2 linked regions of the Daphnia pulex genome follow. The protein of the gene in region 2 purifies or fractionates together with the protein of the main gene of each other region. This does not show direct contact. Links are inferred from orthologs where the notes say so. Each region holds a gene or a part of one and is shown on either strand. Other genes may lie near its edges.

Region 1 (4,416 bases), on a different chromosome or scaffold from region 2:
GATCTCCCGAACGGGAATGTCGTTTGTCATTTACTTTAGTTGTGTCACGACCACTGTTTAAAGGACGACCACCCCTGTCTCGAGCCAAAAAAGTTGTGGAGGCAAATGGCCGCTTATTTGGTAAATCTTTATCGCGAGTTTTGTTCGGAGACCGAGAGCTAATTGTTTTCCCTCCTGGATCCGAATCTTCGTCACCAAAAGATGTGATAAATTTGATTCCACCTTCGAAGGGTGAAGGAGAACGTGACTTGGACACTGATTTCGAGCGGCGAAGTTGTCCATCGTAAGTTGGGCTAGCTCGTGTAGCGTAACTAAAAACATCACGAAAGAAAACGAAGCAAACAAGAATGTTGAATAAGAAAGGAAAAAACAAATTGTTCAAAAATATGAACGTAAAATTATGCAGGGTGATTTTACCTTGGAGGACTCAGACATCGATTCATAAGCAATGCTTGCAGCTTTTGCTCTCTAAACGCCCGTCGCTCTTTCCTTGCTTTTCTCCCCTAGGATTTTTTGTCTAATAGTTAGTTATTAGAAACTAAACCTGAAATATTTTTACAATATTACAGAATACATGGCCCGTTCTTGTTCTTCCTCTTTAGCGATTCGTAATGACTCTTGCTCATCCAAATCACGAGTGAGTAGTGACATGAAGTCCTGCCGGCCTAACCCATAGTGAAGTGCACATTTGTTGACTTCGTGCATTTGCTCAGTTGTCAATTTATCGACAGCAATTGATAAATCTACGAGATCATCAATGTCTTCACAGATATTTTCGATTATTTGATTGTATTTGACTAATATTACCCAAATCAATGTCGCTATCGGATTCTTCTTCTTCAGTCGCTTCGGGAGGAACCACGGGAATATTATGCGAAGTTGATGCTGCGGCTGACGAGGATGGCGTGGAATCGTCATAAGTGAACCCAATGGCCGCTTTCTTCGGCGCAAGCATTTTTTTCTTTTCCTCTTCACCTAACTTTTGAACTGGTCCGAATTGCTCTTCAAGCAATATTTGATGTAGAAACTTTTCCTCTGAAACTAAAAATGCATATTACACAAAAAACTAGTTAATGAAAAGAAAGCATAGAAAACAAAAGTAAAAAGTCCTCCAGGCCTTACAAGTTCTTACATATATTCTGTCTAGGTCAACATTCATTATTGCTATCTCTCGCAATCGACAAGGCTGAAGGAGAAAAGGGTTTTGTCAAACACGGAGGTACCGTTCGCATGCATTCGTCTTCAAGAAAGCGAGCAGCGTGGTTGAAGTTTAAGCGGCCTTGCACAGTGAAAACGCCAACTGTCTCGTTAGTCAGAGAGAGCGCGATTTTAGTGCCAAGAAAAAAAAGGACGAAACGAAAAGAAATAATCAAGAACGGATTCCAGTGTGGCATTATCATTCCTACTTTCTAAAGAAGATCTACGGAATCTGTTTTTCGTCAATCTCAGTTCTGGGGGTATCGCGGCATAACCTGTTCTTTTAAACTTCAATGGTGATGACAGCTTCTGTTCTCCAGGAAAGTGGAGAAAAACAGACTAAAATACAGAGATCGAACAATAAACTTATTTGCTGTTCTTTGCGATTGATGGTGAAAACATAGAGCTTTTTAATGGAGATCAGGGAAGCTTGTCCTTCTTGTCCATTCCGGATTAAGGTAATAAATATTTATTATAAAATTTAGTCTGGATATTCAAGTTATTCACCCTTTTCTTTTCAGAGTGCACTAATAGCAAAATTCATCATTCTACTTCTTGTGACAGCAACATTAACTGAAGGGGCGCCTATTCCCGGTCACTATTTGGAGGAAACACCAGGAGAGGATCGGTCTTACCATATTCACAATTTCGTGAAGAGAATGCATAAGCTATTCAGTTTAATACAGTTTACAATAAGGCATAATCTTGGCATGTTTTGAAAAATGTAAATTATTGTCCATACAAACCACTGAGTGATTTCAGTCAACTGATTTTATTTTCTAAATGTATCTTAAGAACTTTGAGAGATGTCTTACCTCCAATAAATTCATTTTGTACAAGGATTCTGTATCTTTCATAGCTCGCTTGTCTTTCTTCCCACACCTCCTCACCAGGATCCTGATCAGTGTCGCTGTCATCTTTTTGGGGGCGACAAGGAATAACATCTAGATGTGCTCTAACATCAAACCGGTCAATCAAGATTTCTGGTTGTCCTTGCCAAGGCATCCTGTAAAAGTAAGTTTTTTGGGCAAAGTTAATAGGTACAGAGATCCAAGATATTTAGAGCCCTCATTATACATTGTAGCAGGACTGTCCGCTATAGCTGCTATTGCTGGATCAACATGAATTTTCATGGGGCGACCATGAACTTGAAGGAATTGGGCAGGATCTCCTTTCTAAAAATTGTAGCATTAATTTTTTTTTTAAATTTTGTGGGTGGAAAAAATAAAATTATTAAGCTTGTTATATTGTTGACTGACTGTTTTCTCATAATATTCTCGACGCCTTTCAGCTCGCCTTCGGTGATCTACCATCCTTAAATTGAAAAAGAGCTCAGAATTAGAAAGCCAAGGACATCTAATGCCATTTGCACATACATAGACTTCAGGAGACGCTCCTGTTTTCGTGCTTCATGCCACATGTTGATGGGTCGAAATCTTCGTTTTCAGTGAATCCTATACTTTCTGAACTGTATAGAATACGTTTTTACTCACTTATTATCAACAATTCTATATTTTTGAAAAACTTCAAAGTAACAGCAGACTAATCATCCTTCATTAAAATACTCTACAAGATTGGTAGGAGCCACCAAGCGGATCACACAAGTACTATATGCCTTAGGTGTTGCAACAAAAAACAAAACAAATCGCATGTACGCATGTATGCAAAACGCCAAACCCTCGGCCTTAAACTTCAAAATATCAAAACTTTCTCTCCCGACTCCTGTCGTTTCGACAGTCCAACTTTCTAATGTATTAGCAGCTTTTACATCAGTAACTGCAGTGGAAAAATGAGCGTTATAGGAAAAGATTTTTTTTTCCTTTTTAGTTTTTATCTTTTGAGCATATGGTTACAGCATTTTCTCTCGACAACATTTTGTAGGTTAACCGTACGTCACACAGCTTTCACATTTCTCAATTTCAACTTAGAGAATACTTATTAAGTAATAAAATGGTCCGTTAATTTATGGAAAATACGAATAGGTAACAAGAAGAGTAACAATTTTCCTGGTTTACCGATGTCTAATGATGCAAGCTAGCGTTAAACTACAACTAGTGGTTAAATGTGAGATTGGAAATTAACGCAATATTGAGTGAACTAAGTGAAGAACAAAGTCAATTAACGACATTTACCGTTAAATATATGTAGTCAATTATACCACATCAAGATTGGTAAGACTACTTCAAAATAAATCAAGCGTTTGCTCGAGCAAAATTTCAAAAAAAAATAAGACAGCCCAAATAAATCTATTTGCTAAGTATTTCTTCAATTGGATTTCAAATTAAAAAAATAAACTTGCAACTTGCTCATGTATATGATTGATGATGAGTTCCAATGATTCAAAGATGGTCCGGACTCCGGAGAGGTGGAGTCTAACCGCGGTGAGTTGAGAAGAGAATTAAATCAAGAAAATGCCGGCGAAGCTTGAGGTTCCTTTTTGGCACTTGATCAAAAACCTTTTTCTTTGAAAAGGTGAGAGATGGGGTTAATAAACTGTGATGAGACGATTCGGCTGGGAGTCCAACAAAAAAAGATCTTGGACTACAATTAATTTAAAGTTTTTTGGGCTGAATCCCCGCCTCAACCTCAACTCATACTTTCTATACTCATATATCTCTACCACACACCCACCTACCCAATATGACGTCATAGAATAAATGTGAATCTTGCCTGAGTAATTTTTTAGGAACTTCTTTTAGAACTCCAATCCAATTTATCTCCAGTCACTCAAAAGTCTCTAAATCAACCTTGATATGGTGGCATTAGAATAATATATTGAATTCGGTATCCAACAATCGAGTCCTTAAAAACATGATGAATTAAAGAAATTAAGGGTGGCATCGCGGGTTTTTCAGTAATCATTCAGGACACCTTGCATTGTTGACGAAACACCCTATTAAGAAAAAAAGAATCAGGAAAAAATCAAGGAGTTTATCGCAAAATGTGAGTTATTCTATTACTTTTAGATGATCTGAATCGGAGTATGCGACCATTCCATATATTGGCTTCCTGTGGGGGTGATGCTATGAGATTCTCCTTTTGAAAATTACGATTGATTTAGCTTTCAAACTTAAAAAAAAAATTATAATAATAATAATAATAATAGTAATACTCTTAAAATAGGAAATATCAATAACAAGCAAGACAGAAATTCAGCCTGTTACTACTGGAATACGCTGGAGGGATGTAAAATTTTTCTGTGTCAAACCCTCTCCGCAT
Region 2 (2,951 bases):
CCTGATTTTCTGTTTGGAGGTTTCAAAAATGGGCAATGGGATGGAATCGTTGGGCAGCTTCTGCGAAAAGTAAATTTTTTTGAAATATCCAGTAAGAATTTCTTTTACTACAGATTTTTTATCATTAAGGAAGCTGATATGGGGGCTAGTTTGAATGCCATAACTTACGCGCGATACACCGCAGTCGATTTCAGTGTCCCTGTGATTTACGATGTTACAGGAATACTGATTCCTTTTCCAGATGAAACTTCAAAAATCATGGCGGCCTTTCTACCATTCAGCATAGAGGTTATTTTCATTTTATTAATATTAATTGAAGTAATTAATATTTCATTCTGTAGGTGTGGATAGCTTTCATCTCCTCCACCTTTCTGGTTTACTTTACTTTATTAATTGAAGGAAAGATAAATTCGAGCAGAAAAAAATTTGGAGACCATGCAATGTGGGTTGTAGGCATCATTACTGGTCAAGGTAACATTTAAAAAAACTCTGTAATTAATAACTATTAAAGTAAGCTATAGCTTAAAAACTAAAAAGTCATGGAGACCAAAATAATGGTGCATAGAAAAAGTGGTTTTAATTGCAGGAAAAAAATAAAGATGAGCATACATCATAAGTCACCACATTTACACTTTTGCCTTAGCTTGAACAGGTAAATAGAGTTTGAATTCAGCAGGTAATTCATCTTCAGAATAGAGTCTGTCAGAAAAGTAAATGCGACGAATTCTGCAATTTGCATGAATTTGAATCCTTAAAGTTTCGACGTAATTTGTTCCGTAAGCACGCCTTGTGAAGTCAGCTAAATTAAATTGGATCTGGTTCCATCCTTCATCAAGCCGCATAGGCATAGTGCAAATGAAAGGTTTCACTCTTGTAGTTGATTGATAGTTGCTTGCTCTGAATCTACGTCTCACATTTTTATCATCTAGAATCTAAAATGTTTGCAAACTAAGTAATTATTAAAGATCAATGCATGTGAATTATATATCACTAACCTGAACTTCAAAAGTGAAATACTTTTTCATGTTTTTGACAATCATAACAAGATATGGAAGTTTGATTCCAAGAGTTTTCTTTGGATCAGCAGGGCATGTAATGTATGTTGTTGAAACATTAGTTCCAACAATTTCTAAGACAAGGGACTTCATATTCATAAAAAAATCAGTTAATTTCTAAGTTTAACGCTGCTTTAAACTGTTTTTTTTTTTTTACCTGAATATCGTTGTCAGTTATTCGCTTGATATGACCGTTTCGTACGATTTTGTCCCAGAGCTGCAGAGGTTTACTTCCAATGCTATAAAGAACGGATAGAAATCCACTTTGAAAAGTGTTTTTAAACATTTTGCCGGTTTCAACTATGGACTTATTAGGCTAGAACTAGACTAAGAAATAAGTTTCGAGTAAAATCAGTTGTTTGTGTCAATTGTGTGTTTATTCAATAAACAAACGATCGTCATAGCAACGCACCGCTGCCAGATTTTTTCGCTTCCAAGTGCATATTGAAATAAATTTTTAGATTATTATTTTATTTAGTATTTTTTGTTTTAATTCTAGTTTGAAAATAGTTGGAGTAATTTACTTTATTGTTAATTATAATTGTTTTTCCTCATGCATAAAAGGTGTTGGATATAATGAAAATCGCTTGGGTTTGCGTCTTGCAGGTGAAACAGTTTAATTTATACGATTTCTTGAATCTTTGTCATTTAAAATATTATCTATTTTTTTGTTTCATTTCCTTAATAGCGGCCACATGGTGTTTAACGATGGTAGTATTCATATACGTTTACACTGGGGTGCTTACGGCTTTGTTAGCTGTTCCCAACTACGTTCCTATAATAAATACTTTAGATGAATTAGCTACGAGCTCCACCATCAAGCCGGTCACGATTAAGAGTACCGCAGTCGATGATATCATGCTGGTTTGAGATTTAAGATATTCCAAACATTGATATCAGGGTAACGGTTTTTATATCTTTATTCAGAATGCCAAAAATGGTACCTATAAACTAATCGGCGACACCTTTCGCAAATACCCAAATGAAACTTTAGTAGCCAACACTTTAATTGGTGTTCAACGTGCAGTCGAAGGAAAATATGGATTTTTAGAGGTAGGCCAAAATACAAAAGTACAAAATTTCAGCAAGTAGATTGGAGCTGCCACTGTAATCAGCATATCTGAATACGTATTTTTAGCCACGAATGTCCCTTTTGTCGCTGATGGAAAACGATCGCAAGGAACACAACAGTTGTCGTGTAACTTTGGCTAAACAAACATTTTATCCTCGTGCTTTCGCATACTTTTTGCCAAAGAAAAGTCCGTTTAAAGATGCATTTGATCGACAGTAAGTACGAAATTTATGGGGTGCGGAATGAACACTTTTTCCAAAAAAAATGTTCAATAATCGATTACCATATTTGATGTGAAAACAAATTGATAATCGATTTGAATATTGAAATCAAGTTGAAAATATATTCAAAAATTGAAAACGTTTTGAAAACGATTTCATAAATTGAAAATGATTTTGAAAAATGAAAACGATTTCGAAAAACTAAAATGAATTTGAAAAACTAAAATGATTTCGAAAAATGAAAACGAATTTGAAAAATGAAAATGAACTTGAAAAATGAAAATGAACTTGAATATCCATACAATTTCGGGAGTGCGATATGACACCACCCTACTCTATCCCCAGCTCTCTCCGGATGCTATAGCCACCCCGAGACAACCGACTAGCCATTGATGGCTATGTCGCTGATTCCAGCCAGCTAGGCCGTCAGCGATACTGTCAGCCCTTGCCGGGCGGTGCTGGCCACCGCTGCCGCCACAACGGCAGCCGCTAAAGTCTCTCTCGACCGCAGACCGAGTATTACCCTACACAAAAATAGGTTACACGATCCAACGTGTGAAAAGTTTCATGTTCCTGCAGTAAATGACACACAGCCTACCCAGC

Evidence for each region.
Region 1: the proteins of cilia- and flagella-associated protein 20 (region 2) and CLK4-associating serine/arginine rich protein-like purify together in Homo sapiens (affinity purification with mass spectrometry; 3 studies listed by BioGRID and IntAct, counting the BioPlex papers as one, with this or other methods). This does not show direct contact. The link is inferred for Daphnia pulex from reciprocal best matches to the Homo sapiens genes CFAP20 and CLASRP.

The regions. Positions count from the first base shown.
Region 1 is NC_060022.1:6,846,459-6,850,874, reverse strand, and holds the start of CLK4-associating serine/arginine rich protein-like, read right to left. Parts: upstream 2,863-4,416; 5' UTR 2,618-2,862; coding exon 2,574-2,617; intron 2,512-2,573; coding exon 2,457-2,511; intron 2,373-2,456; coding exon 2,275-2,372; intron 2,204-2,274; coding exon 2,013-2,203; exon of another isoform or gene 1,719-2,012; intron 1,656-1,718; exon of another isoform or gene 1,203-1,655; intron 1,042-1,202; coding exon 808-1,041; intron 744-807; coding exon 568-743; intron 504-567; coding exon 418-503; intron 312-417; coding exon 1-311. UniProt on the Homo sapiens protein: Probably functions as an alternative splicing regulator. May regulate the mRNA splicing of genes such as CLK1. May act by regulating members of the CLK kinase family.
Region 2 is NC_060020.1:7,305,751-7,308,701, forward strand, and holds cilia- and flagella-associated protein 20, read right to left. Parts: upstream 1,453-2,951; 5' UTR 1,342-1,452; coding exon 1,213-1,341; intron 1,143-1,212; coding exon 996-1,142; intron 933-995; coding exon 627-932; 3' UTR 553-626; downstream 1-552. Other genes in the region: glutamate receptor ionotropic, delta-2-like, read left to right, coding at 1-288, 342-471, 1,620-1,661, 1,744-1,919, 1,983-2,108, 2,194-2,342. UniProt on the Homo sapiens protein: Cilium- and flagellum-specific protein that plays a role in axonemal structure organization and motility. Microtubule inner protein (MIP) part of the dynein-decorated doublet microtubules (DMTs) in cilia axoneme, which is required for motile cilia beating.